Ovis aries: one gene and its partners. The protein of the gene in region 2 interacts with the protein of the main gene of each other region in a pairwise test. Links are inferred from orthologs where the notes say so. Each region holds a gene or a part of one and is shown on either strand. Other genes may lie near its edges.

Region 1 (3,954 bases), on a different chromosome or scaffold from region 2:
AATAAAGGACTTAGTGTACTTCTTAATTTTTTATAAACAAAGTGGATAGAACCCAGTTTGATGTAGAATATGTGTGAAAAATTAAATCAGTTCAGAAAGCCTTGCTAGGATGGCAAGACAGGGGGGAAATGCTGGGTAGGGGCTGCATATAGATACTTGGGAAAGGAGGTCACAGAAATCAGAGAGGAGGGTAAAGATATTTAGCCTAGTTAAAAATATTTTTTTGAAGAACCATAACTAGAAATGGCTTTTTTCCTTACCTTTTCTTCAGCTTTCCTTCTTCCTTCCTTTTTTTCTTCCTTCCTTTCCTCCCTTAGAAAAGAGGGGCCAAGAAGGACGGAAGCCTTGTAACCATTGACTTCATCATTCTTTTGTTTTTTCAATGAGTATGTATTAGGTGGCAGCTTTGTGTCAGATGGTATTTGTTGTATAGAAGCTCAGCGTAACAGATATTCCTTCTAATTTCCAGAGGATCTGTCTTTTATTTATAGTCTTAGGAAGAGTTTGTGTTTATGTGTGCTCATGTGTGTGGCCACGTATGGATGCACATATGCTTGTTCACCTGGCCTTTTATGGTCAGTTCTGGGGAAAAGAGGCATTGGTCCTCATTCAGATGTGCCCTAAAGTCTTATCTACCTAAAAGGGAGTATCGTCAGACTTTAGTGTGAAACTCTGTGTATGTGTGTGGGAAGGAGTTTATATATTTATTGATTGCCCTTAGGGTTCTAGGTTAGATGAGATATGGGGAAATGTCTTTAGCTGCTGTAGTTCCAGTTTAGAGATGGATTTATTTTAGGTTAAGTGTATCTTTCTTTCATACTGTGATTTTCAAACATGCATCATATTTTATGACCATATTTGTGGTCATAAAATCAGTTTAACTGTCTGTGAATAATATTTTTTAAAAAGAAATAGGATAAAACCAATCAGTTTGTTGCACACTGCGAGGGTGAATTTTGGTTTGTAAATCTTCTGTTTCAGTGGTGTGTGGGTGTGTGTGTGTGTGTATTAATTATACTGGGTTGCAATGTAAAATATATTTCTTACTGTAGGTTGCTGTTAAAAATATTTAAAGCAAAAAAAAATATTTAAAGCACTTTTTTTGGATATATAGTAAAAGTGAGGAAATAGAATTTATAAATTATAAATTATATTGAAGTTAAATTATAGAAAAAGAATAAGAAAAGAAAAAATGTTTCTGCTTAGAATGCTAAGGAGTTCTGTGTTTTAAGGAGAATATTAATATTGCTGTTATATCATTAATAGGAAGTGGAGGAATTTTGAATTTTGAAAATTTAAACATTAATGATTGAACTGTGAGACATTGAAATTACTATCAGGATATGGGGTAAAATAAATAATATTCCATTTTGTTATATTTAGTTTATATGTTTATATTCTAGGAGATTCAGGTGTCTGGGGACTGAAGAAAAACTTTGCTTTATTGGAGCTTCTGGAAAGACTACAGAATGGACATACTGGTCAGTATGGAGCTGCAGAAGAAGCCATTGGGATATCTGGAGAGGTATCGATTGAACTGTTGAAATATTTGTTAAATTTAAAATATTTGCCATTATATGCACAATATTACCTTCACTTGCCCTATGAAGTAGGATGCCAGAGACACAACTTTTCATTACATTGTAGTTCTGAAGGCAACAGAATCCCCAACTGAAGAAAAGCAAAACTGAAGCTTGAATTCTCTGAAAATATATGCAAACTCTGTTTTTTGTATGAACTTGTTTCCTTATCATCATTAGTTCTACATAAGGGTAAAGTGGAAGAGTAAGATTATGGATGAATACGAAGGATATGTAGCCTACTTTAAAGCAGAGGATGCAAAAGTGAATCATTCAACAGTTAAAGCACAGAGAAAGAAAGAGGAACTCCATGAAAGGGACCTTTTAGCGTAGAAACAAAATGCCTTACAGGTAGCCATAGCTCCTGAGGGAATTACTATTAAATATCTTCATGAAAAGTTAAATTGTATGTAGATGTACTCTCTTTATCCAGACAGGTTAGTGTCCAATAATTATTAGAAGGCCATTAACACAAGTTAAAATACACATTTTTAGCATAAAATTTGTCTATATAACTCATAGACTGTTTTGAATATAGGAATAGTTGTTCAGTAAATAGTTAATAATTTTAATGAACACCTTGAAAACCACATGTTTAGTATCAAGGAAAATGTCAGATTGACTTTTTACTTCTCTTTTATTAGACCATGATTTCCTATATGAAGTGAATCAATGAAAGTAATCTCAAACTGAAGCACTGTTTTCTAAAAATTTTGCAGTTCTTTCCCATGATTTATCTTTTACCTTTAGTTTGAAAGACATTGAGGATTATCTAACATTGATCTTACAAATTTGTCAGCTCTAGAAAGCAGAAGACATGACTTTTTAATTTTATACATAGGCATTTTTCATAGTTGTAAGCAAAGTTGTTTAACTTTGGGTTCATTTTTTATTTACTGTGATACTGAATGATACCATTGATATATTTTCTAATTTTTATTTCTACAGAAATTTATACCAAATCTTTCCCTTTCCAGTTATGGCCTTTTAGTATTTAGAAAAAGTTTTTGAAGCATTCTTGATTATCTGACATGTAAAATTGACAACTCAGAATGCTTTTTAACTAATTCATAAAAATAATAAACATTTATAAGGTTACATGTAACATTTTTATTTTATTTATTTTATTTTTTTCTTAAATTTAATGATTTTCAACCAGGATAGTGCAGTGGACTCAGCTATGGAGTTTTAGAAAAAATACACAGCCTGGACTTCATCTACACCTATTGAGCAATGGGTATTTCTCAGGTTGGAGTCCAAGCATCTTTTTAAAAGCTTCACTTGGTTATCTAAGTAATAAAATTTGTGCTTCTCTTTTTCTATACATTATGCTGACAAGTATATTTAAAGCAGGGGGGAAGTATTTACTATCAGTTCTTTCAGTCTTAAAAAACACAGACTTCTATCCTCTATTGTTCGTTTCTTGTGTATAAAGTGAGGGGATTTTGCAGTAGATACCTTTGCACTGACAGTGAATCTAAAATAATGGTTTTATTTTTGGCCTCAAATTCGTAGCATATATTGATGATCAGTTTTGGAAATAGCTTTCACTTACCTATAGACGTGAGTAGTGAATGACCTTTGTATTTAATGATCAGTTTATTTTTATATATATAAAGATTATGGGCTTTTATATTTCAAAATTTGGCATGTTATAATGATTGGGGTTTAGTTTAAAAAATTTTTTTAAAATCAAAGTATAGTTACTTTATAATATTATGTTAGTTTCAAGCATACATCAACATGGTTTGGTTATACACAAACACACACACATATTCTTTTTCAGATTCTTTTCCATTATAAATTGTTATAAGATACTGAGTATAGTTCCCTGTGTTGTACAGTAGGTCCTTGATGTTTACCTATTTTATATATAGTAATGTGTAATTTATTTCTCCTCCCTCTCCCTTGGTATCTCCTTTGGTAACCATAAGTTTGTTTTCTGGGTCTCAGTCAGTTTCTGTTTAATAAAGGGGTTTAGTTTTAATACATTACTTTTTTGTTTATCAGAGCATCATTCGTTGTGATGAAGATGAAGCTCATGTTGCATCTGTATATTGCACTGTATGTGCAACTCACTTGTGCTCAGAGTGTTCCCAAGTTACTCATTCTACGAAGACACTAGCAAAGCACAGGAGAGTGCCTCTAGCTGATAAACCGCATGAGAAGACCATGTGCTCTCAGCATCAAGTGCATGCCATTGAGTTTGTTTGCTTGGAAGATGGCTGTCAAACTAGCCCACTCATGTGTTGTGTCTGCAAAGAATATGGAAAACACCAAGGTCACAAGGTATGAATATAATTAAAGTTGATAACTTGATCTGCTTTACCAGCCTACTGTTTATTTTCACTGACTTGGTTCTTTATACTAAAGT
Region 2 (3,584 bases):
CCTGGGCTCTCTGACCTTGGTGTTCTGTAAGCTTGCGCACTTGGAGTGGTTTGCACATAGCATTTTTCATCCGTACACATTTCCTGAGCACCCATGATGTGTCGGCATCCTCTGGTTTTGTAGTAAGAGGCGGAGCCAGCGCACTGAAGGATCAGGTAAAACCTGACAACTGGACGCCATGAGAGAACCGTGAGGATGCGATGCCATTTCACTGGGGAGCTCGGTGACGTGAGACATGAGCTCGGTGCCTGCAGGTTTTTGCTGTGGCAAGAAGTTGTCCACTTTTGGTGGCAGTTAAGATTTCTCACCTATAATATTAATAGATTATAGGAAAATGTGGCCCCTTCCTGTGTTTCATTTGTACTAGAAACTTCAGGAAGAATGTTTCTAAACCGATGAGAAAGATCAGCGATATATGAAAGAAAATTACAAAAATTGCTTTCATTTCATTACATTTTTCCTGCATTTTACATAGCTATGCTTGTTCTTGAAAATGTTTTGTTTTTGAAGCCAGCTCATGCCCGCTGGGACAGTGCCTTGTGTGTGTGATGGAGGCTTATTAATAAACGTGTGAAAAAGTAATTGACTGATACAGGATTGTGGCTTAGTCGGTAAAGGAGCTGCCTACAATGCAAGAGATGCAGGTTCGATCCCTGGGTGGGGAAGATCCCCCGGAGGAGGAAATGGCAACCCACTCCAGTATTCTTGCCTGGACAATCCCATGGACATGGACAGAGAAATCTGTCAGGGTACAGTCCATGGGGTTACAAGAATCAGACACGACTTAGTGACCAACCACAGGATGTATACAAATACCATTGTAAGGAAAACAATATTTGAAAGAAGCCTTTTATGGTTCACATGTGAAGACTTCCTTCTAAAAAGCAGGCAGCCCACAGCTCTGATGGACCTTCATGCCAATGAGTTCAAGTTTCAGGAGCTGCCTGTGGCCCCTGCTTCCTAACTTGCCAGCCCTAGCTTCATGCATAGTTGATCTGTCCTCTGCTCCTAAGGGACAGAAGGTTATAGGTCAGGAGGCCTGATGGCAGTGGCTCCCAAAACCCCCAATGGGGCCTGTGTGTGCTGGGCAGGCCGGGGCTTTGCTTCTGGGCAGTAGCGGGGCTGTGCAGCTGGACAGACTCACGCGGGGCCTCTTCCTTCTAGATACGGCGTGGAGATCGGCTCTTCCACCAGCATTACGGGGCCCAGCATCCCTGCCCGGACTCGGGAGGTGCTGGTCAGCCACTTGGCCTCTTACAACATGTGGGCCCTGCAGGGTGCGTGGTGTTTCCTGTGGGCCATGGAGGGTGGGCATGATGGGCATGGTGTGCAGAGCCCAAGGTTACCAGAGCACTGGGTTGGCGGGGGAGACGCTGTCACCTGGTTCATGGACTGGCAGGCTCACCCCTCCCAGGAGGACGTGGCTGTCTCCTCTTCAGGAGCCTCCATTCCAGTCCCCCTGTCCCGGCTATAGTCACGGGGGTGGAGCGCTCCCTCTGACGGGCAGAGCCAGGTCTGGTACCTTCCCAGGCAGGGGCAGAGGAGGGACTCCTGAGGAGAGCAGAGGCTCCTGAGAATGTGGAGGGGCTGGCACCCCACCTGGCGGCTCCCTGCACACAGCAGGACCCCGGGGCCAACCTGGCTGTGTCCCCGTAGGGATTGAGTTTGTGGTGACCCAGCTCAAGTCCCTGGTGCTGACCTTGGGGCTGATGGACCTGCACCTGACGGTGGAGCAGGCTGTCCTACTGTCGCGCCTGGAGGAGGAGTACCAGGTGAGGCGGAGCTGGAGCCCCACTGTGGTGGAGGCTCCGGGTGGCCCCCCAGGTGCCCTGGGGCCGCCTGTGTGCTCACGGAGGCTAAGCCTGGACACGCAGACAGGCACCCTGGGTCACCGAGGCTGCTTCGAGTCCATGTCTGATGTAGTGGCTCAGAATGAACAAGGCTTGGCTGCTCTGCCGTTGGCATTTTTTTAACTCAGAATCACCATGTTCTCTGCAGTTCCCTTGTTACTTCTCCAGCCTCAGAAGGTTAATTGCTATTACAAATTGACTCCTAGCATGATGAAAAGCCTTTTGTAATGACAGTTTTTCCCAAGTTGGTCTAGTTATCTGCTTGGAAAAATGTCAGGGGGAGAAGCTGGTTTGTGTCACGAGAGAGCTGGCAACTCTGGTGTCAGGGCCAGCTGGGTGGGAGCGGGGGCGGGCAGCAGGAGCAGGAAGCCTGGCTTCTGGTCTGGGCTCTGTCCTTGGCTGCAGGACCCAAGCGGGGCCGTTGTTCCTTGAACCTCACTTTCTCCCTGACAAACAGTTCTCTGAGTATAAAACGCTCTTCAGATGTTGTGGACACCCAGAATGCAGGCAGGTCCCAAGTGTGAGGGTGGGCAGGCCAGGCCTCCACTCTCACCTGCCGCTCCCCTACATGCCTCCTCCCCTCAGCCATGGCGGGTCATGGCTTTGGCAGTCACTCTGCAGCCTGTCCCGTCCTCTCCTCAGATCCAGAAGTGGGGCAACATCGAGTGGGCCCACGACTACGAGCTGCAGGAGCTGCGGGCGCGCACGGCCGCCGGCACCCTATTCGTGCATCTCTGCTCCGAGAGCACAGCCATCAAGCACAAGCTGCTGCAGGGGTGACGCCGGCCCTCAGCCTGAGATGGAGATGCTGTGGCCAGTGGAGGCTGGTTTGGGCTGAGCCAGAGCGCGGGTACCAGTGACTGGTTATACTGAACGTTTCTCCGCCTGGAAGTGAGAGGAGCTGCCACTCATCTTGTTCCTACTGTCATGTCTGGGTCCCGGAGGCCACCCCGCTGACCTGCAGGACACTTGTTACCCACCAGGACTTTCTTGTCTGGGAGGTATTAGTGGCCCTCAACCTTTTTTTCCCCCTGGTTTTTAATCAAACTTTTAAAGTGAAGCTGTCTGTTTCTGTTGTTTCCTACTGTTTTAGCAAAGTGATTTACTTTTGAAAACAGAAAACAATCTTTTTTGTTCCTGGGTTAAAAGCCTGGGCAAGGTCACCTGACACGCACACATCCTGTTCAAGGAGCCACTGCAGGGCCCTGGCACAGAGGGGTCTCAGGTGCCTGGGCCCAAGTGAGGGAGCGGGAGGAGTCTGCAAGATTCGGGCACAAAGGCTCCAGAGCCACCCAGCCTTGCTCACCTGCCTCCCCTCCCCAGCACTGTCCCCACACCCTGAGTGTGCTGGGAAGAGGTGCTTGTCACCTCCCCACCTCACAGATAACACCAGCTGCACTCTCAGCTCTGGAGGGTCCTTGGGTCCTCACAGCCTCCACCTTGGAAAGCCAGCTGGGCCCCTGAGGAAGGGCCTGCCCTGGACAAGAAGGGGCAGCCAACAGCCTAGGAGCCACTCTAAGCAGTCACCAGCTGCTCAGATGCAGACACAAAGAGGATGGAGAAAGCTGACAGAAGTGTTTTATTTCTCTACCTGTGGAGTGGGGGTCAGCCCTAGTCCAGGAGGTCCCCACACTCCAGGCTGTCCAGCTCGCTCTGCACGTGGTCGATGTACTGGTTGATCTCCTTCACACGTTTGCGGTTCCTCATGATCTCATCCTTGTGAATCTGAGGGCA
Region 3 (3,954 bases), on a different chromosome or scaffold from region 2:
AATTTAGTTGACAGTAAATATATAATGAATATAATTGGCACAGATGCAAAATGTCATAAATCAGCTGAATAAAGAGCTAGAAAATATGTTTAGTGGAGGCTAGAATTCATCCTAATTACAAAATATCAGCTTCTGGTTTTTGACTAATAGGTGATGATGTTAGGGGCATAAAATATTTTCATTTTGTAGTTGAAGGAAATATAATTATTTCTAACAGGGTGAATGGCAGATGCGGAGCTATTCTTGCCGATGAAATGGGTTTAGGGAAAACACTGCAATGTATTTCGCTTATCTGGACCCTACAGTGTCAGGGACCCTATGGAGGCAGGCCAGTAGTAAAGAAGACACTTATTGTCACACCCGGAAGCTTGGTGAATAATTGGAGGAAAGAATTCCAAAAATGGCTAGGAATCGAAAGGATCAAGATATTTACTGTTGATCAGGTAAGAGACTTTTGAACATTTAGATTTGGTCATTTGCTAAATCTCTGGCTTTTCAAATCAGTGCTGCAGCTTTCACTGTCTATCTAGCAGTTTTTCAAGTGTATGTAGTTCTCTTTTTTTCTGATAGATGGAATCTTGCCTTACAATTTCGTTATGAGTTAATATATTCTAATACCTAGATAATGGTTTTCAGGAGTATGCTGGTTTTATTTAATTTCACATAGTTTTTGCCCATGATTTGTTAAAGGTTACCCTTTTTTTTTTTTTTAAGGACCACAAAATAGAAGAATTCACCAAATCTCCATTTTATTCTGTTCTTATCATCAGTTATGAAATGTTACTTCGTTCCCTGGATCAAATTAAGAGTGTAAAATTTGATCTTCTAATTTGTGATGAAGGGCATCGTTTGAAGAACAGTACCATTAAGACAACTACAGCCCTCATTAGCCTCTCCTGTGAGAAAAGGATAATTTTAACTGGTCTGTATTTACTTTGGGTGAGATATGATGGTATTTTGCCTAATGAATATGCAGAACTTGTAGTATGATATTTGACATCCAAAGAATTGATGATATTGAGTGGAATTCATACTAATCAACCTGGGTTAGTTGAGTCTCTGTAGGATTCTGAATTATCAAATTCCTGTGTAATGTTTCCCAGATTTTGGATTCTTTGAGGAATAAACACGATGGTATCATGGTAAAGAAAGTAGAAGATGGGGCTAGACTGCTTGAGCTTGGTTTCCAAGTCTGACAGCTGTGCAACTTTGGGCAAGTTATACTTCTCCGTACCTCAATTTTCTTAATGTGTGAAATAGATTCTTTATGTTTTGAGGGTCAAATGAGTTAATTCATGTGAAGTTCTTGGAAGACTGCCCTTACATGATAAGTGTTTAATACAAATATCCTTTATTTTTCCATGTTTGTGCTGTATGCATATGGTTTTTTGCTGGCCAAAGCTTCTAGCCCAGGTTGTCTGGAAAAGTGGGATAGACTGTACATAAATGTAAGAATACTTTTCTGCCTTATCCTTTTTAGCTTAAGGCCTAGACTAAAATTAGGCCTGAATAACTCAAAGGAATTATTTTCCCATACCTCATTTTGGTCTTGTGTGGTGCTTTGAACTTACCATTTTGGTAGCAGGAGAAAAAAGTTGTCTTTACTAATGTTTACATCCCTTCTGTTTTCTGCTCAAGACTCTTTTTGCTGATCATCTTTTATCCTTTTAGAAAGGATGGGCAGGGCATGGTTATTTTTATTGGATTATATCCCACGTCTTTGTGTCCTCCATGTGTCCTTTATGCATGTCAGAGCTCCCCTGTGATGTTAAAATGAGGGAGAAGGGGTGTGACCAACAGCTTATTCCTCCAATATACATCTTCAGGGTAGAAGTGTGCTGTGGAGCAACAGAGAAACCGCCCTCCTGCTGTGCTCTCAACTGAGTTGGGCTATAGAGGGTGCCCACTTTTAAATAATTTATGGCTATTTGACTTCCAATTTGTGTAGAAGGATTGTATTACCATTACCAAATGTGATTTTTGAGACTATATATGCTTTTTAGAAATGATTTGGGGAACTGTTAAATGACCTTTACATTCCTCATATTTAGTCAAAGTGGATTCTTTATACTTCTTGACTAGCCTTTGATTTTTGAAATCCTTGGGGCCAGAAAAGCAATGGAGAAAAGAGCAAAGCAGAGATTATTTCTTTTTACTGCTCAATGTGGCATCAATATTGCTTATCTAAATAGTAGTAATAGCTATAGTGTTAAAAAGATTGGCATTCAAGGGGGGAAACAAAAATAAAGAGTGAGAAATTCAGATTACTTTTGGGTAATAATAATAGGAGAATAAAAAAAAAGAGGACTTCCCTGGTGGCGCAGTGGATAAGAATTCACCTGCCAATGCAGGGGACACAGGTTTGGTCTGTGGTCTGGGAAGATTCCACATGCTGTGCAGCAACTAAGCCCGAGCACCACACCTACTGAGCCCAGGCTGTAGAGCCCAAGAGCCACAGCTACTGAAGCCTGGCTAGAGCCTGTGCTCCGCAACGAGAGAAGCTCCCTCAGTGAGAAGCTTGCACAGCATGATGAAGGAGTGGCCCATTTACCACAGCTAGAGAAAGCCCACACGTGGCAACCAGACCCAGACCCAGCACAAAAAAATGGATTCTCTTCTATTTGACAATCAGATAATGTCCTTTAGCAAAAGTGAACAGTTTTACTAGTATTCTCAATTATAAGAAAATACCAACTTAACTAGCATTACAAATTAGATTTTATTTTGTTGTTGTTGTTTAGTCACCCAGTCTTGTCCAACTCTTTGTGAGTCGGACAGTTTGATTCAGTGACTCCCATGCTAGTAAGATCATGCTTAAAATCTTGCATGCTAGGTTTCAGCATTATGAGAACCAAGAAATTCCAAATGTCCAAGCTGGGTTTAGAAAAGGAAGAGGAACCAGAGATCAAATTGCCAACATTCGCTGGATCATAGAGAAAACTAGGGAATTCCAGAAGACATCTACCTCTGTTTCATCCACTACACTAAAGCCTTTGATTGTGTGGATCACAACAAACTGGAAAACTCTTAAAGAGACGGGAATACCAGACCATCTTACCTCTCTCCTGAGAAAGCTGTATGTGGGTCAAGAAGCAACAGTTAGAAACCTGTTTGGAAAAACTGATTGGGTCAGGATCGAGAAAGGAGTACCACAGGGCTGTCTGCTATCACCCTGTTTGTTTAACCTATATGCTGAGCACATCATGAGAAATGCCAGGCTGGATGAGTTACAAGCTGGAATCAAGAAAGGTGGGAGAAACATCAACAACCTCAGATATGCAGATGATACCACCCTTATGGCAGAAAGTGAAGAGGAACTCAGAAGCCTCTTGATGAAAGTGAAAGAGGAAAGTGAAAAAGTTGGCTTAAAGCTCAACACTCAGAAAACTAAGATCATAGCATCCGGTCCCATCACTTCATGGGAAATAGATGGGGAAACAGTGTCAGACTTTATTTTTGGGGGCTCCAAAATCACTGCAGATGGTGATTGCAGCCATGAAATTAAAAGATGCTTATTCCTTGGAAGAAAAGTTATGACCAACCTAGATAGCATATTCAAAAGCAGAGACGTTACTTTGCCAGCAAGGTCCGTCTAGTCAAGGCTATGGTTTTTCCTGTGGTCATGTATGGATGTGAGAGTTGGACTGTGAAGAAAGCTGAGTGCTGAAGAATTGATGCTTTTGAACTGTGGTGTTGGAGAAGACTCTTGAGAGTCCCTTGGACTGCGAGGAGATCCAACCATTCTAAAGGAGATCAGTCCTGAATGTTCATTGGAAGGACTGATGTTGAAGCTGAAACTCCAATACTTTGGCCACCTGATATGAAGAACTGACTCATTTGAAAAGACCCTGATGCCGGGAAAGATTGAGGGCAGGAGGAGAAGGGGACAACAGAGGATAAGATGGTTGGATGGCATCACTGACTCGATGGACATGAGTTTGAGTGAACTCTGGG
Region 4 (3,954 bases), on a different chromosome or scaffold from region 2:
TGGTCCATTCTAACCAAAGGTTTTGCCTCATCATTGGAATTTTTCTCTGAAAACACGTATCTTTGCTAGAATATAGATATTGCTGCCTATAGAAATCTAGTGTATAGAAGCATAACCATTCTGTTAAGTTAGGATTTACTTATTTGATATTAATAATAATAGCGCATATATATTTATGAAAACTCCTTAGCTCCTCACTCATTGCCACTTTATTCATGCAGTCTTCCAGCATATGCCAAAATTAGTAGAAGTTATAGGAGTCCCAAGCGGCAGTAACCAGTAAGGATGACTTTCTGGCCAAGTGCCCCAGTGATTTCTCTGGAGCTGAAAAATGGCACGATGATCAAAGAAGTTAGTCTAACACTAATCTCTTAATGCAATACAGGAAGCCCTGAAGGTACACACAGCAGTGGGCCAATTTCTCCAGTGCCAAAGGAGAAATACAATACAACTTTAGCTCAACAATTTAAGGGAAACTTTTAAGTATTAAGAAACATTTCTGTATTAAGACAAACACAAATATGGTGCATGAATTTTTAAGCTAGGACAGGAAGTCTTGTGCCCATAGCAAACTGCTTCTAGCTGCAACACCCACTCCCCATTCCTCAGATAATACATTTACTCCTCTGCTGTTCGGGATGCACTGAGGGAATGGTTTGACAAGCTTTACACTCAATGTTTACAGATGTTCACCTGCTTAGGTCAGTCTCTATGTCGGCAGGTCTAAAGTCACACTTCTGAATAATAATTACAAAGATTTTCTATTTTGCCCCTAAGGTGGTCATGTTGACTTTTTAATTTTTTTTTTTTTATCTTAGGTAAGTTGATTTTGTTCCTGGAAGTTGCAAGGGGGTGTTTAAATTTGCATGTATTCTGGGAAACACAGATTGTAGACATCTGAGCCAAGTGTCATCCTTTTTTGATAGTAAACAACTTATATGTGGGACTTTTAAAATTACCTTTAGTACTATTAATAAACCCCAAGCACAGATTTTAATTTTCCAACCGCCTACTAATTTTTAAACCACCTCTTTCTTGCCTTATTGTTTATTTACAGTCCCCTTCCCTCCCCAGACCTCCTCCTTTCCATGGCTATTGCCTTCACAGAATTCTTGAGTTTGAGCACCTGAGTGGTTTCAGACCCGTGTTTCAGGCAACCAGTTGCTTGTGATACATGGAGACAGAGCATATCTCCTCTTATAGCATCTAAGAATACACAAAGTCCTTGAGTCATCCCTGTTTCTTCCTTTATTGCCCCAATTAAAAGTAACAGGAGGTTGATGACAAGTGAACTCTAGTCATCACTAAGGAAATACAGAAAGCTCAGTTCTGAGCTTGTAACCCAACACCCCAGTCCAGCCACTATTCCTTTTTATTGTCATCCTGCATGAAGACAGGGATCTGAGATGCAATATTTGCAAGAGTCTGTGGACTCATAGGACTGGCCATGGCAGAAATGTTCCTTCTTTCCCAGCTGGCCAGAACCCAGTGGAGATTTTGAGCATCCCTCCTGCTGCAACAGATTTGAGGGCTGATTATTCGTATGTCTTTCAATCCACCAGCTTAAGACAAGAGCCTATAAATCAAAGGAGATAGAAAGAAATGGCTGAAATCACTAGCAGCCACATTGAAGCTAAAAGAAAAGACAGATTTGGCTAGAGCACTTGTACAGTGCTCACAGAGGAGACCTTTGGACCCCAGACCCTATCCAAATGTTCACTTATTCCACTTACCTTCCTTTTGCAAATGAGGTCAACTCATAAAGACAGATACAAAGACAATTATAGATACTGCTCTAACTTAACGTATTGAAAATGTTTTGTTTTACACAAATGGGTTACGTTAGCCAAACTTAGATTTACAGGGTACAAAGTAAGTACACTATTCCAGTGACCTGTCACACTTGAGATACAACATACTATGTGTTGTGAAAAGTGCATGGGCAGAGGGTAACATCAAATAAAGACAAAAGTAAAAGGAATATTAAATGTCTTTGAATCTCTCCTTACTGGTTGGTTTTAGTATTCTGAAAGGGAAAGGTGGAGATTAAATCACCAAAAACCAAAAAAAAGTAGAACAAGAAAAACAGAATAAGGAAAAATTAAGATTCAGCTCTACAGCTCAAAAGGAAAGGAAACGCCTGAAATAGTGAGTTCACCTTCTGTAGTTAGCTGTGTGCATGCTTTTCTGTAATGACCATGGATACACAACCCTGGATAAACCATTCTCTTTTCTCCCCCTTCCATCAGCCATCAGTGGCCAATCGGGCCATGAGAAGAGTTAGTTCAGTTCCATCTAGAGCACAGTCTCCTTCTTATGTTATCAGCACAGGCGTGTCTCCTTCAAGGGGGTCACTGAGAACTTCTCTGGGTAGTGGATTTGGCTCCCCCTCTGTGACTGACTCCCGGCCACTGAACCCCAGTGCATACTCCTCCACCACATTACCTGCTCAGCGGGCAGCTTCTCCATACTCTGCACAGAGACCTGCCTCCCCATCAGCCGTACGTCGGATTGGGTCGGTCACCTCCCGGCAGACCTCCAATCCCAACGGACCAACCCCTCAGTACCAAACCACCACCAGAGTGGGGTCCCCACTGACGCTGACGGATGCACAGACTCGAGTAGCTTCCCCATCCCAAGGCCAGGTGGGGTCATCGTCCCCCAAACGCTCAGGGATGACTGCCGTACCACAGCATCTGGGACCTTCACTGCAAAGGACTGTTCACGACATGGAACAATTCGGACAGCAGCAGTATGAAATTTACGAGAGGATGGTTCCACCTAGGCCAGACAGCCTGACAGGTGAGTACAAGCTGACACCTATACAAGCCCAGTGGGAAAGTGTTCCATGCAACCATTGCTAAAACAGAGCATATAATGTGGAAAAACTTTATATTTTTATCTCAAAATTTGTACCGTAGTGTACCGCAGACTGCAGGCTGACTTTTCTCTCAGGCTTTATACTTTTTAATGCATCAAGTTATACACATTTATATCACCAGACCTCTTTTGCAATGAAAACATTTCCCTCATCCCTCAGAAAACTAGGATATAAAAGGTAGGTACTTTTTGCATATTAGAAGAACTGGCTAGAATTCTAAACTATTGATTGCGGTTGTTCATAGTGAAATATTTTTCACTAGCTAGGCCTACCCATTGGAGAAGGAAATGGCAACCCACTCCAGTGTTCTTGCCTAGAGAATCCCAGGGACGGGGGAGCCTGGTGGGCTGCCATCCATGGGGTCGCACAGAGTCAGACACAACTGAAGCGACTCAGCAGCAGCAGCCCTACCCATACTCGAAACCCTAAATTATGTTAAAAGATGGTATCAGAATGTCTATTCAAATATAATACTTTTTTAAAGAAATGCCTTGCTAGTGTAGACTAGAATATGGATTTCCTCACCTACTGCTTTGATTTTTAGCACCCCAATGGGAAATGCACAAAGTTCTTATGAATTGCCTTCAAATGCCACTTGGATTAAGTCAGAAAGACACCGACCAGATCACTGATAGTACAGCTGTTTCTTTCAGAGTTTTCTCATCGTGGGTTTTCTACAGGATGTACAGACTTTTGATTAAAATTATATTCATCTTTAGCTAGTAAAAAAAAAGTTAAAACTGTGCAGGAAAATAAAAATTGTGAAATGAAAGTCTCAGCCCCCTCTTACCCTCACCCAATCCCACTCCCAAGTTTATGTGTCTTCCAGACTGTTTGATTACATATATAAGTATATACATTACGTATAGATGTGGACACACTGTATTTTTTATGCTGTTGGAGCTCTATTATGTATATCTCCTATACCTTCTTTCTTTTTTAATGTATCTGAGGGTTCTACCTCATTCTCTCAAGGGATGCCTAGGACCTTATTTTATAGACATATTATAATTTGTTTAATCGCTTCTCTATTAACGGACATTTAGATATCCTCATTTTTAGCTCTTAGAGAC
Region 5 (3,954 bases), on a different chromosome or scaffold from region 2:
GCGTCTTAGTTGGGTTATGCCTGTGGCCCCACTGGGAACCCTTTCTCCCGGACACAGACTCCTGCTTCCACAGTCCATTTTCTGGAAGCAGCAGGTCTTAGCCCAGGTGCCATAACAAAAATCTTAGACGTGGTGACTTCAAGGGAAAAATTTGTTTGTCACAGTTCTGAAGCCCTGGGCTTGGAGATGGCTACCTTTTCAGTGTAGCCTCCTGTGGTGGAGGGAGAGAGAGTAAGAGCCTTTTGGTATCATCTTAGAAGGATATCCATCCTAATCAGAGCAAAGCCCCACTTCAGTAACCTCACTGAACCACAGTTACTTCCTTAGAGACCTCATCTTTCACATATAGTCACGTTAGGGGTTAGGCCTTCACCAGATGAATTTTGGGGGGCTGAGGGCAGGAGACACAATCTGCACCGTGTGATAGAGTTCGGGGGCTGTTCCTTTAAGAATTAAAAATTAAATTTCTAAGTGTCAAAACTGAATGGATTTTGGTTTCCTATATCTGACTTTAGTTCCCAAATTCAGATTTTGTCTTACTTAGCCCCATGTTTGTTCCTTTGCTTCTTCCCCATTCCCCAGAGGCTGCCTAACCCAGGAGAAGATTGTGGCTGGCAATGCCAATCGATTCATTGTGATTGCCGATTTCAGGTACGATGTTCAGTGTTTCTGAACTGTCCACTGAGGAGGTGCCTCAGACGCCAGCCCGCATTTTATGGAGGAGAAAAAGAGCTTGGAGGGAGGGGCACTCCTTCCTGTGACTCAGGAGAGTGCCTTGGACAATTATGTTCTGCTTTGGTGCTGAAGGAAGATACTGCTATTTCTTGTGTCCGCTTGAAAGAGGAAACAGATGTCACACTCGTTAACAGAGCATGTCCTTATTGATCACTCATTCGCTCCATTTGCTCCCTGCAAGGCGTCTCGGAGGAAGCGGGTCAAGCCTGCCCCTGGGCACCCCTGCCTCCCCTGTGCCACATGTGACTTGTGTTGTGGACAGTCTTTGACCAGGCTCTCAGAGTCTACTAGAAGGCACTTATGCTGAGCATGTTAATTAAAAAAAAATTACAGCTGTAGGAAGAGCATAAATGATTATGTTCCTCACACCTGTTTAACCACAAGTCAGTCATATCCAGGTTTTAATATTTTTGTCATATTTACTTCACATACTTTTTTTAAAAACAGTAGAGCACAGCCAGTCTGTTTGAAGCCCTGTACACTTGGCCCTGCCCTCTCACCTCGTTAGTAACTCCATGCCTGAATTTGGCATGTCTGTACCACTGAGCTTATTGACATCTGTTGTACTTCTGACTCTTTTCTTTCCAGGAAAGATTCAAAGAACCTCGGGGATCAGTGGCACAAGGGCATCCCCATTGAGGTCATCCCTATGGCCTATGTCCCAGTGAGCCGAACTGTGACCCAGAAGTTTGGGGGCGTGATTGAACTTCGGATGGCCGTCAACAAGGCAGTGAGTGGCTGGAAGGTTTCTGGGAGGTGTCCCAGGCTCTCAGGGCCTGTCCTCCTGCTTCCGTTAGGTCCTTTATACCCAGACTGGGCAGGTGGCTCCTGTGGATTATTTATCGGCTGCACTGTGTCTTCATTGCTGCTCAAGGGCTTTCTTTAGTGTTGGCGAGTCAGGGCTACTCGAGACGCGTGGGCTTCTCGTTGTGGTGGCTTCTCTTGTTGCAGAGCACAGGCTCTAAGTGCGTGGGCTTCAGTAGTTGCAGCACACGGGCTCAGTAGCTGTGGCACATGGGCTTGGTTGCCATGCGGCATGTGGAATCTTTGCAGGCCAGGGATAGAACCCTTGTCCCCTGCATTGGCAGGAAGATTCTTAATCCACTGTGCCACCATGGAAGTTCTGTTTATTTTTAATCAGCCTATTGGCTTATTTTCAGAGCACTGGCTATATCAGTTTCCATATTCAAACTCATGTAGACAAGACTATACTTAACACACTGTATATTCCCTGTACAAATGGGCACATTTTCTGTCCCTTGGAATCTGATGCTCCTCGGGTGATCTGATCTTTGTACCTGGATCTCTCTAACAGCTGCTAAAAATGGGTTTGGGGAGTCCCTCCTGGGGCAGAGAGTTATTCAGGTTTTGTGGTATGATTTTCTTTTTTCCTCTTTTCTCATCCTGTGGTTAAATGAAGTAGAGTTCCTTGGGGGGATGTAAGCTCCTCCCCAGAAATACACTCCAGATACTTAGTCCAAACACTTCACTTCAGCTTCTAAAGTGGGTTGAACAGAAATTTTTTTCTTACACTTAAACAAGCAGAAGTAATAATTCAAAAATTAACTATAGTTGCAGACAGAACTATATATAAAAAGTTTGAAACATACAGGAGAGAAAGCAACTTATCTGTAACTCTTCCCTGATGAACTTTTATTTTATTTTAATGTATTTTCTTCCTGGCGTTTTGTGACTTTTTAAAAAACCAGTCTTAATCATAGTTGTTACACTGAGCTCCAACTCTGGCTCCCTGAGTAGCTGAGGATTCGAGAAGAAATTGTCAGGGTTCTTTCTCAGAGCTGGGGTTCCTCCACACGAGAGCCCAGCATCTTGCTTTTGTGTGTTCTTTCTGGGCTCCCACTCCCCCATTTTGCAGAGCAGTCTTTGTGTTCTGGCAACATTTGTGGTCCTATATGCTTTCTAGTGCCCAAAGCTGCTGTGTGATACTGGGTTAATTAACTAAAAGTACCCCCAGCCGCTGTGACCCCAGGACCCCTCACTGCTCCATCTTTTTGTTGGGTCTACCTGATCTGGGGGGAAAGCTGTCTCACGTTGCATCACTGATGGTTCTCAGTGTAAAGCTCTGGGAGCACTGAGCCATACTGGTTGTCTGTTCTCTTGCTGTAGTTTCTCACTCTAATGATGGCTAAGCATCACTGTGCCCTCACTGTGGTAAATGCTTACCCATGTGGTTTATGCATGAGCTGCCAAAGGAGGTAGGTTTCATTATCCCTTTCTTGCCATAGAGGAATCTGAGGCTCACAAAGCAAAATGGCCCCTGTGAGATATCTGCCTCAGTGGCTTCAGGACTCCTGCTCATGACTGCTTCATAGCACTGCCTTCTAGTAATAGAAAGCATGAGGTGGGAGTACTGGTTGGAGTGGGTTGCTTGATACTTGTCCTTGGTTATCACCTCCACTCTCCTGCCCCCTCTGCCTGCCTGAATCTGTATCATCTCGTCATTGTGGGCAATTATCTTCTAGGGTCCTGTGGTGACGGATAATGGGAACTTCATCCTGGACTGGAAGTTTGACCGGGTCCACAAATGGAGTGACGTGAACATAGCCATCAAAATGATCCCAGGTAACATATATTCTTGAGTGTAGACACCCAGGCTCTTCATAGCCGTCCCCTGCCTCTGGCCATGGGAAGCACAGTGGCTTTGGCTTTGAGACTTGTGTGGGAAGAATTTGCTTTATAACATGTTTGGAATTTCTAACTTTGCCTTTGCCTTTTCCTCCTGAAAACAGTTACTGCTCACTTAGCAGCTTTGTTAGTTGGCATTTCACAACCCGTTTCAATTGGGGCAGGCATGGGGCCGATGGTGTGTCAGGGGGCTTGCCTTGAAATAAACGCACTCTCTCTGCAAAGAGCTTGACTGTCACCTCTTTGATTCTGGCCTGTTCTCTGGAGAAGAATGACTCAGTTCGCCCACGCTTGTTAGATTCCTGCGAGGTGCTGGAGGTGCTGTGCCCTGTGTTACAGGGAGTTCTTCTTCCAGGTCGCCGTTGATAATCTGGAAGAATCAGCCCTAGCGATAATGCAAACGCAGGGGGCCCTGTGGGCAGGAGTACTTGCAGTGCCCACCAGGGGGCTCTGGTGCACCTGCTCAGACCTTTCGAGGCTAACTGAGGCACTGAGATGTCCTTTGTGAGCGGATTTCTCCCATCCTTTGGTCTCCACCTCAGTCAGCAGAAGCTACATCCTAGAGAAGTTCCG
Region 6 (3,954 bases), on a different chromosome or scaffold from region 2:
TATCCTTAAGAAACTGACAACTTTGCATTAACTCTTTTTTCATTGTGTAAAAATGAATCAAAATCACTAGTTTAACATCTTTTCTTTGATTATATTAACTTTCTAGTCACTCGCCCAATAAATAATTTGCTTACATTCTATATAGAAGATAAAAAATTAGCACACTCAGGAAGCAAAACCAAAATATGTAATGTAGTAATTGATGGGCAATTAACAGATTAAATAGGACTTGTTTAATAACTTTCTTCTTTTAAAAGATACAACTGATAAAATTTTTGTGAATATATCTTTAAGCTGTATATGTAAAAGTCATATTTCCATCAGTCATTTATTCATTTTCTCTTCCTCTCCATTATTTAACTTATTTTCTATTTCTGCTAAAACAATCCTGTACTGACATCTGAATTAGATTATTTAGGATAAAAGTGACTCTCAACTTCATTTTCATAGATTTCTTAAAGTGGAACACAAGAACAAATACAGAGGACATTTTTTCAGGTATACATCACTGGAAAACACAGGATGTTTTGATATTTTTATCCAATCCTTTTCATTAATGCTTAAAGTGCATTTGTTTACTGTGTAAATTTTAAGAAGCTGGAATGAATTTTCCAGGCTGAAACTTGGATTGTTCACAGAATTTTTTAGCACCAGACATTCCAAAGTGCCTTACACATATTTTCTATGTAAGGCATAAACTTAGATGATAGATATTATTGTAAGCACTGTTTTACAGATGAGGAAATTAATACACAAAGAGGACAATAAATCTGACCACAGTCACACAATGAGTAGGTAGCAGAAACAAGATTCAAATTCATGCAATTCAGAATTTGAGCACAGAATGTATAACCCAACTCTTAGTAACTATTGCACAAATTTTGTTATCTTATTAGTATTTATGTTTGTTTTCATTTATACCATATGACATGCTTCAAAAACAGTAAATTTACATTTTTAAAATCAAAGTCAGCAGCTTGAAATTTTCACTGATTGAGACTTGTCATAATGGAATGTTTTCATAAATTATCTACCTTTTCCAGTTATTCAATATCATTTACATGTCCACATATAAAAGCATAAGATAGATACTTGCATTTTTATTTTATAATGCAATTAACTGTGTATATTTTGTTTTAAGGCAAACAAAAACAATGCAACAGTTCATAAGCCATTGGCCACCAGTACGACACTTTCTGTTTAGAAAACTTTTATCCTTTTGTTTCTTGGGATAAATATTCACTTTCTAATCAGATAGTTGGAACACAAAGGAAGCAAATAGATGATGGCCTATTAAGCCTTAAGCCTTAAGATGTCATCTTCAGACTCAATAAGTCACTAAACACAGAGAGAAAGAGAGAAGAGAATGGTCACGATGTAGTTCTGCCATCATATTTTTTTGTTTTTCATTACTACATCCTTAAATTGTTCCATAACACGCTTCAGTTTTTATAAACGGTTGCTCCCGTCTTCAGCTTCTACAGGCTCTATCATAGTAATTATAAACTGGTGGCAAAAAGAACAGCAAGTATTACATCTTTGAGATGAAAAATCCCTGTAACTTTGAATTACCTATAGTTGGTGCTGCAGCATAATTATATCAGCAGTGTAACAATTAAACCTTTATATTTATAATACTTCTGAAATCTTGGATTCTTTTCCTCTAAAAGTGCTCTCTTTTGTGTCTTATATCACATCTTTGTAATTACCTATGAGTTTTAGGCCTGTGTTTTCCATTGTGGTGTCTTTCCACATTTGAAGGGGAATATAGTTGCCACCAGGGAAAATGGCTAATCAAGTCTGCTTTTGATTATGTGGATACTCACTCTGGCCCTGTCCTTTCCAACAGACCATGAGTCCCCTAGGAGTTACTCGGCCACACTGACTGATCTTGGAAGGACCGCACCCAGGGAAAGAAGAGGAACTCCAGAAAAAGAGGTAGTCTGCTTAGTGGCACTTGAGTCTTTTTCAACAATATACTTGAGAAAGCATTTGCCAGCTGAAGTTAGTGTAAAACCAGTTAAGAGCCCTGATTAAAAACATTAAAGTGTTGATGGAGAAACTAGAAATTAGTTTTCCCTGGAGACCAAGCAAAAGATTTGAAGCCACGGCATTCTAACCTGAGCAGCACGTCTCCCCCAGTTGTAGTCCAGTTTTGAGAGTGACTCTCTGAGTCTTAACCTGACCTATAGATTAATAGCTTTGTCTGAAACAGTCTTGAGCTGGGCCACCCCTTGGAGGAAGAAAGCTTTCCCTATCGAGATTTCTGGCCCAGCGATGAAGGGGACAGTCCTATCAGCTGTGCTGCAAATCAATACAGATTCCATGGAAATAATTTTTGCTGCCCTGCTCTTTTGGGGGAGGATCCCTGAAAAAAACCCCGCTGTTTCTGGGAACCCCCAGCCTGCTGGCTCTTGTCCGTGGTCCTGAGCCAGGACTGATGGTCTGGCTTGTACTATCTTGGAGCCATGAAGGTTTGATAAAACCAGAAGGCTAGTCCTGGACTGTCAGCCACTCCAGAAAGTTCTCTACCAGTGTCTAACACAGTCCAATGCCTGTGGATCCAGGATCCAAAGCCAGGAATGATCCAGGATGCCCAAAGTCCACCAGAGTCTCAGGGAAAGAGCAGTGAGAGGATGATTGGCATCAGAAAGGAAGAGCTCAGGTATGTAGCTACAGGTGCGCCAGGCAGATCTGTGGGCCCCAGAGCTCGAGTGTGGGCTCGTGTCAAATCTGGTCAGGACTCAAAGATGAGCAGCTGGTTTACTGGGTGCTGAAGAGTTCCTGAACTCCCCAGGGAATACAAAATGACCAAATCCATGCTTTTGGCCACTAACTAGCCTCTCCATGATAACTAGGCTATATTTCTTTGCTACTATGTTAACAAGTGTTTGGTAAAAGGAGTAATGACTTCCTTCGTGACTTTTTCCAGTCCTTTAATTATGGCTCAGAAGCTGTGTCAATACTTAGGACACAGAACAATTGATCTTCCACAGTTATCCCAGGAAAAGCCAAAATTATACATAGGACCAAATCCTCTGCAGACATTTTATTCCCCTTTCATGGCATACATTTACCTTAGTCCCTAAGATGAAATGTGATATTCAACAATTATGGTGAATAGGTCATCTGTTATAGTTTAACTATCTAAAAAGAACCAATTGATTTGCTTATAAATTGCATATATGATTTACATTGTATATGTTTAATCAATCCTTCAAGTTTCATTTCTCTTTAATTCATATGAAACTGATTTTTTAATAGGAAATCCAAAATTTTAAGTTAGCATCAACCATTTCCTTCCTTTTCAGAAACTGCCTGCAAAAGCTGTTTACGATTTTAAGGCTCAGACATCCAAGTAAGTATAAGCATTCATCATATGATTTAAGTTGACTTTACATACATAAATAATACATTAAAAGACAAATATTGCACTGTGATGTTTTACAAATAAGACCTAGTTCCCAATTCAGCAATCAACTCTAATTAAGCGGTTCCTTTTGAATTAATTGGGATGTGGGCGTAATTTTATTTTCATATTGAGTTTCATTGAGAAACATTGAGTTTTAAATTACACTAAATATGTTTGAGCACAATGAGTTCAAAAGGATACGAAAAACAAAACGAAATTAGGTTTGTTTCTAGAATTTTCATGTCAAGAGTGAAGTAAAAATAAAGTGTTGGGGAGTAATTAACACTTAGAGAATTTGATAACATTTATTTATCCAACTATATCAAGGATAGTTTGTGGTTAAAGACTATAACTGTGTACAAAAACTCCAATAGTAAAAATCACCATTTCTCAATACTCAGAGCTTAAAGACTCTGAGTACATTTTTATCCTGTGCCATTTTTTTTTTTCAAGAGGTTAACATTTTATCTATTTATTTGGCCACAGTGAGGGTCATGTGGGATCTTAGTTCCTCAACCAAGGATCCAACCTTTCACCCTCCA
Region 7 (4,646 bases), on a different chromosome or scaffold from region 2:
GGATCTGAACCCCAGATCCCCTGCATTGGGAGCACGGAGTCTTAAGCACTGGACCACCACGGAAGTCCCTTCCAATCCTAATATCATTCCAAACAGTCTTTCCATTAATTATGCAGTCATATAAACTAATACTTAATAAACATTATTGGATTATTGGTATTATTCAGGTACCTGAATAGGTTCTCTCTTGCAAGTCTGCTTTTTAGTTTAACTGAGTTAGCAAAACACGTAATTAATCCTTTTATTCAGATCGTAACATAGTGTGATCTTTTGGGGACATTAAGCCCCTCTTGATCCCAGGTAAAAACAAGTTTCAATATTTGTTCACAGGTCTGAGAAAAACAGCGACATGGAAAGAGAAAGAGCGCGAGGTTAGAGACTTTGTCTTTCCAAGGCTGATGGTATGAGAATCCTCCTGCCATGAAGCCACCTGTTGGTGTCTCTCTGCCTAAAGACCACAGTTCCGTAATCCACGCCTCCCTCGCAGTGCCACACTCCAGCCCTCATGAACTCTGAAAGGTGAGCAAGCCTTCTGAAATCGCAGGGGTGGGCAGCACACAAACAGCCCTTAGAAGGTATTCGAGCCAGGCTCTTAACATGGAATCATGGGCTTATTCAGCGGGTCCTGGAACCTACTACTGTCCCGGATGTAAAGTTGTATCGAAGTGTTTTGTGCCTTCTTCTCAGGAGGCTGCCCAACTGCCACTTCCCTCTGGAGGTCTTCTCCTGCCAGAGGTCTCGCCTACAGGATCTCTCATCACTTTGTGTATCACCTGCGGAGTCTCACCGCAATCTGTCATTACCTTATTTGCTTAAATCCGTCCACCCCACTAGAAGATGAGCTTCCCAAAGAGCAGGACCTCTGGTCTTTCTCCAGGGCCCTGAAGCCGGTGGATCTCGACTGAGACTCTCGGACTGAATGACAGCTCCGAATCCATCAGATATTGAACGGACTCTTTTCCCCCCAGCCCCGCCCCCAGCATTCTTCACCGGAAATCATTTCAAAATCATTCATTTTGGAAATAAAGCTTCCAGCGCTTCGGCCGCACCCACCCACCTACGTTCCAACGGTTAGAACTGCCGCCCCGGCCCACTCACCCAAGCCCTCTAGGCCGGACAGTTTAGAGGTGACCGAGGCAGGGGTAGCCGCCAACGGGCACGCGCATCAGTTCACATTCCCGACCCCCGTCCTGGGGGCGGAGGGGCGGGGTGGACCGCGCGGACCTGGAGGAACCACCTCAGGAGGCCGCCCCAGCCACCACCCTACTCGGGGTCCCCACTCTCTTCTGCGGCGGCACGCAGCCGGCCGCGGGGGGTTAAGCCCGTCGCGCAGCGCGCGCCGCCGCGACCACAAGTACTTCCGGGTGAGCGGGTCGCCGACCCTGTGGCCCCGCCCCTCCTCCGCCTCCGCCGCCCGCCGCTCGGGCTGCGGCTCCTCCCGGGGGCCGGTTCCCGCTGTCTCAGCCGCGGCGCCGAGGGGACACCGGCGTGACTGACTGACCGGCCGTAGGCGCCGGGAGCCGCCGCGTCCTGCCCGGCCCGCCTGGCCGGGGACCTGGGACCGAGTCTACCTTCCGCGCCCCTCGCCCTTAGCTCCGGCAGGCTCCCGGTCGGCGAGCCGCGCTCCGGCCCTTCCCGGCGGCGCCCGCAGCCACAGCCCGCGCCCGAACACAGGTAAGGGCCGCTCCTCCCGCCAGCCTTGGCGGGGAGCGGGGCCCGCGCTTCCCGGCCTCTGCAGCTCGGCGAAGTCCGCGCTGCCGCCGACCTCTGCTGGGGGCCAGGCCCCCTCCAGCGGGCCCCGGGGTCGAGGTCGCCCCCTGCCTGCGGCGTCCTCGGGCATCACGCCGGGTCTCGAACGCGCAGCCTCGATCCGCGAGCGGGGACGGCGATACTTCCATTGTGGGAGAAATGAACTCGGGCCGCTGTCTCTGCTCTTTGGGTGCTAGGGCTCCTCCTCCCTCTCCACTCCCTCGGTCTGTCCCCGGCCGGCCACCCGGGGAAAGGTGTCAGGCTGGTGGAGGGCGTAGAGCTTGTATGAGATTTTTTTTTTTTTTCCCCTTCCTCCTTGACCCGAACTGAATGAAGCAGGAGCAGAACAAGCGCTTGTTAGGAGTGTCAGGGTTAATGCTTGACTACGGCCAGGCGTTATTCACACCCAGATTGTTAAGTTATATAGCTCCAGCCGGGCCTGCTTCTCGTGCCCGTGGGTATGTTGCTGGAAGCCAAAGGACCTAAGGAAACCCATCTCTTGTTCTTTCTTCGACGGGGAGGGGAAAAAAAGTTCAAGTGTTTGCTTTGGTTTTTCTACCGTGGGATATACAAATATCAGGCTGTGGAGACCTGGCCAGGGAAATAATGGGATCCTAAACTTAAACTGCTTGTAGCTCTTTTTTCTTAGAGTTTCCATTTAATGACTCAGCACTTATGCCCTAAAAAGAAAAAGTGTAGTGTAGGTTCATTGATTGAAGGATAAGTGTGAGGATAACAGTGTCCATTACTTTTTCACGGCATCACAATGGGAGGAGAATGGGGATGCGGTAGTGGAACCAGAGAGATGGAGGGCAGGGTGTGGATGAATCAGGTCTTAATTAGTGTTTAAAATAAGTGTTTCAAGATTAAATGTTTATTTTGGGGATGCATCTGTTTGGAGAGGTGCAATTGTTGGAAAAGGCAAAGTGTTGCAGATAAGTTACTTGGCAGGAACTTGAGGTTGCTGTGGTTTGAAGGTCTTACAGAATTAACTTAGTTTAACCAACTTCATGCTGTGTTCAACACATGTAGAGATGATGACTATTATACTCATGTAGAATAAGAATTTCAGAAAGTGTGATTCATTGAGGAAGTTAGGTCACTCGCTGTGTGAATGAATCATTGATAGGGTTCTTAAACTTGGAATAGAGGAAAGTTTGAGGTTTGTTACTGCCTGTTTAATTAGATACCTTCACTCCTAGGAAGTGTTGCATTGAGGCTTTTGTTAGGTTTGTTGCTTCATAATTATTGTCATGAAGTATAGTAGAGAAACAAATAGTGGACTTTTGCAGAAGCTTTAGGATTTAGAACAGTTAGTTCCTAAGTGGATTGTTGTGATTTTACCCACTCTAGGAAGATAAATGTCTAGAAACAAAATAAATGCCAGTGAAAAGGACAGCTACCATCATTAAGGTAGGAAAAAGTTCACTCAAAGAATCTGCAGTACAGAAAACAAGCAGTCGTTTGAGGGAAAGACCTTACCCATTTGGGAAAATCTGCCCTTAAAAAGGTGGAATGAGACTTTATACGTGCTCAGTTGTGTCCAGCTCTTTGTGACCCAGCGGACTTTAGTCCATCAGACTCCAGAGTCCAATCCGTGGAATTCTCCAGACAAGAATACTGGAGTGGGTTGCCGTTTCCTCCCCCCAGGGCATCTTCTGACCCAGGGCTCTCTCACCTGCCTCTGCTGCACTGGTGGGCGGATTCTTTACCACCGACACACCTGGGAAGGCTATACAGAGCTCCTGCTTCAGTTCTGTCGTAGAAGAAAGCGTATATTAAAGTAGTGATTCATTATGGGAATGAATTCATTTTAAATTAGAAATAACTTTTAATTACTGGAATGTAACTTGATCATTTTTGGCTTTTAAAGTGTTGCTAAGCAAAATGACTTTGACTCACAGAGTTCTTGATACTCTTAGCCTTGATTTCTTCTATTTTTGGAAATCAGCTTATTTTATGTTGATTTATAAAGAACTGTATAGTTAATTATCAATTATTAAGTAATGGTAAATTTGCCCTGTTGATCTTGCTTAGTAAATTCTTTTAATTCTTGAACTAAATTTTGGCATTTTATTTCCTTGGATATCCATTCTTATATTCAGAGTGTTCCCTAATATTGCTTTTGATTTTTGTCCAGCTAATGGTGAGTTTCAGTTTCCAGTTGAACAGAGATTCCCTTTTGGAAAATCCCTTGTGGAAACCACCCGAACTGACAGTCCTGATGGGTAGATTTGTAAGAGAATCCTTCTTAGGTCAGGATTTAAGCATCTCCACAATGAAGGGAAAAACTGATTCGGAGAATATGTTTGGCAAAGTAGATTCTTTTTCTCTCAAAACAACAACAGATCTTTACTAGAAACGAGAGGGAGCAGTTTCTTGCAAAGCTCTTTGTGAATTGTTTACCCTGCTCCTAGTGTGAAGAGGAACAGAATCGAAAATATATGGGGGGGGGGGGGGGATCTCCCTGCACCATGTTGGGAATGTTGATGAGGATCATTTTAGAGGAAACACATTCTGTCCTCACCACAGGTTCACTTTCCATCGTACCTACAAATAGGCGGTTGCATAGACCTTTGCCTTTGCTTTCTCTCTGGAGAATCTGAATGGAGAGATGGTCTTTTAACCGGAAATATGTACCACCTTATTCAGTTAGAAAAACAGTAAAAAGTTTATGACCATCATTCAAAACTCAACTTGTAAAACTTCAGAAAGAAGGGTTGAGCAAAATTTACCCTGTGAGTAAAATAACGTTGCCCTTTCCTCCACTGTTTTTTTTTAAGATGATAGGACACCATTAGAAATGATTTGTGTTGCACATTGTGCTTTCACTTTAAAAACTTTCTGGCCTTCGATAAATTAAGGCAGACTTAAAGGGAATCCAACACTGGGCTAAA

Evidence for each region.
Region 1: the proteins of ATPAF2 (region 2) and TRIM23 interact in binary tests that used the Homo sapiens proteins (3 or more experiments, as listed by UniProt). The two-hybrid records come from large-scale screens. The link is inferred for Ovis aries from reciprocal best matches to the Homo sapiens genes ATPAF2 and TRIM23.
Region 3: the proteins of ATPAF2 (region 2) and RAD54B interact in a two-hybrid assay, tested with the Homo sapiens proteins (2 studies listed by BioGRID). The two-hybrid records come from large-scale screens. The link is inferred for Ovis aries from reciprocal best matches to the Homo sapiens genes ATPAF2 and RAD54B.
Region 4: the proteins of ATPAF2 (region 2) and PKP4 interact in binary tests that used the Homo sapiens proteins (3 or more experiments, as listed by UniProt). The two-hybrid records come from large-scale screens. The link is inferred for Ovis aries from reciprocal best matches to the Homo sapiens genes ATPAF2 and PKP4.
Region 5: the proteins of ATPAF2 (region 2) and RPIA interact in binary tests that used the Homo sapiens proteins (3 or more experiments, as listed by UniProt). The two-hybrid records come from large-scale screens. The link is inferred for Ovis aries from reciprocal best matches to the Homo sapiens genes ATPAF2 and RPIA.
Region 6: the proteins of ATPAF2 (region 2) and SORBS2 interact in binary tests that used the Homo sapiens proteins (3 or more experiments, as listed by UniProt). The two-hybrid records come from large-scale screens. The link is inferred for Ovis aries from reciprocal best matches to the Homo sapiens genes ATPAF2 and SORBS2.
Region 7: the proteins of ATPAF2 (region 2) and LRRFIP2 interact in binary tests that used the Homo sapiens proteins (3 or more experiments, as listed by UniProt). The two-hybrid records come from large-scale screens. The link is inferred for Ovis aries from reciprocal best matches to the Homo sapiens genes ATPAF2 and LRRFIP2.

What each region holds. Positions count from the first base shown.
Region 1 is NC_056069.1:14,060,606-14,064,559, forward strand, and holds part of TRIM23 (E3 ubiquitin-protein ligase TRIM23), read left to right. Parts: intron 1-1,403; coding exon 1,404-1,525; intron 1,526-3,590; coding exon 3,591-3,869; intron 3,870-3,954.
Region 2 is NC_056064.1:34,281,667-34,285,250, forward strand, and holds the end of ATPAF2 (ATP synthase mitochondrial F1 complex assembly factor 2), read left to right. Parts: intron 1-1,164; coding exon 1,165-1,277; intron 1,278-1,656; coding exon 1,657-1,772; intron 1,773-2,492; coding exon 2,493-2,630; coding exon of another isoform or gene 2,631-2,710; 3' UTR 2,711-2,910; downstream 2,911-3,584. Other genes in the region: DRC3 (dynein regulatory complex subunit 3), read right to left, coding at 3,462-3,575. UniProt on the Homo sapiens protein: Plays a role in the assembly of the F1 component of the mitochondrial ATP synthase (ATPase).
Region 3 is NC_056062.1:82,849,093-82,853,046, forward strand, and holds part of RAD54B (DNA repair and recombination protein RAD54B), read left to right. Parts: intron 1-217; coding exon 218-443; intron 444-714; coding exon 715-922; intron 923-3,954. UniProt on the Homo sapiens protein: Involved in DNA repair and mitotic recombination. May play an active role in recombination processes in concert with other members of the RAD52 epistasis group.
Region 4 is NC_056055.1:151,057,176-151,061,129, reverse strand, and holds part of PKP4 (plakophilin-4), read left to right. Parts: intron 1-1,230; exon of another isoform or gene 1,231-1,576; intron 1,577-2,249; coding exon 2,250-2,802; intron 2,803-3,954. UniProt on the Homo sapiens protein: Plays a role as a regulator of Rho activity during cytokinesis. May play a role in junctional plaques.
Region 5 is NC_056056.1:59,395,913-59,399,866, forward strand, and holds part of RPIA (ribose-5-phosphate isomerase), read left to right. Parts: intron 1-582; coding exon 583-651; intron 652-1,323; coding exon 1,324-1,465; intron 1,466-3,218; coding exon 3,219-3,318; intron 3,319-3,954. UniProt on the Homo sapiens protein: Catalyzes the reversible conversion of ribose-5-phosphate to ribulose 5-phosphate and participates in the first step of the non-oxidative branch of the pentose phosphate pathway.
Region 6 is NC_056079.1:15,017,118-15,021,071, reverse strand, and holds part of SORBS2 (sorbin and SH3 domain-containing protein 2), read left to right. Parts: intron 1-1,849; coding exon 1,850-1,938; intron 1,939-3,311; coding exon 3,312-3,358; intron 3,359-3,954. UniProt on the Homo sapiens protein: Adapter protein that plays a role in the assembling of signaling complexes, being a link between ABL kinases and actin cytoskeleton. Can form complex with ABL1 and CBL, thus promoting ubiquitination and degradation of ABL1.
Region 7 is NC_056072.1:10,384,378-10,389,023, forward strand, and holds the start of LRRFIP2 (leucine-rich repeat flightless-interacting protein 2), read left to right. Parts: upstream 1-1,440; 5' UTR 1,441-1,674; intron 1,675-4,646. UniProt on the Homo sapiens protein: May function as activator of the canonical Wnt signaling pathway, in association with DVL3, upstream of CTNNB1/beta-catenin.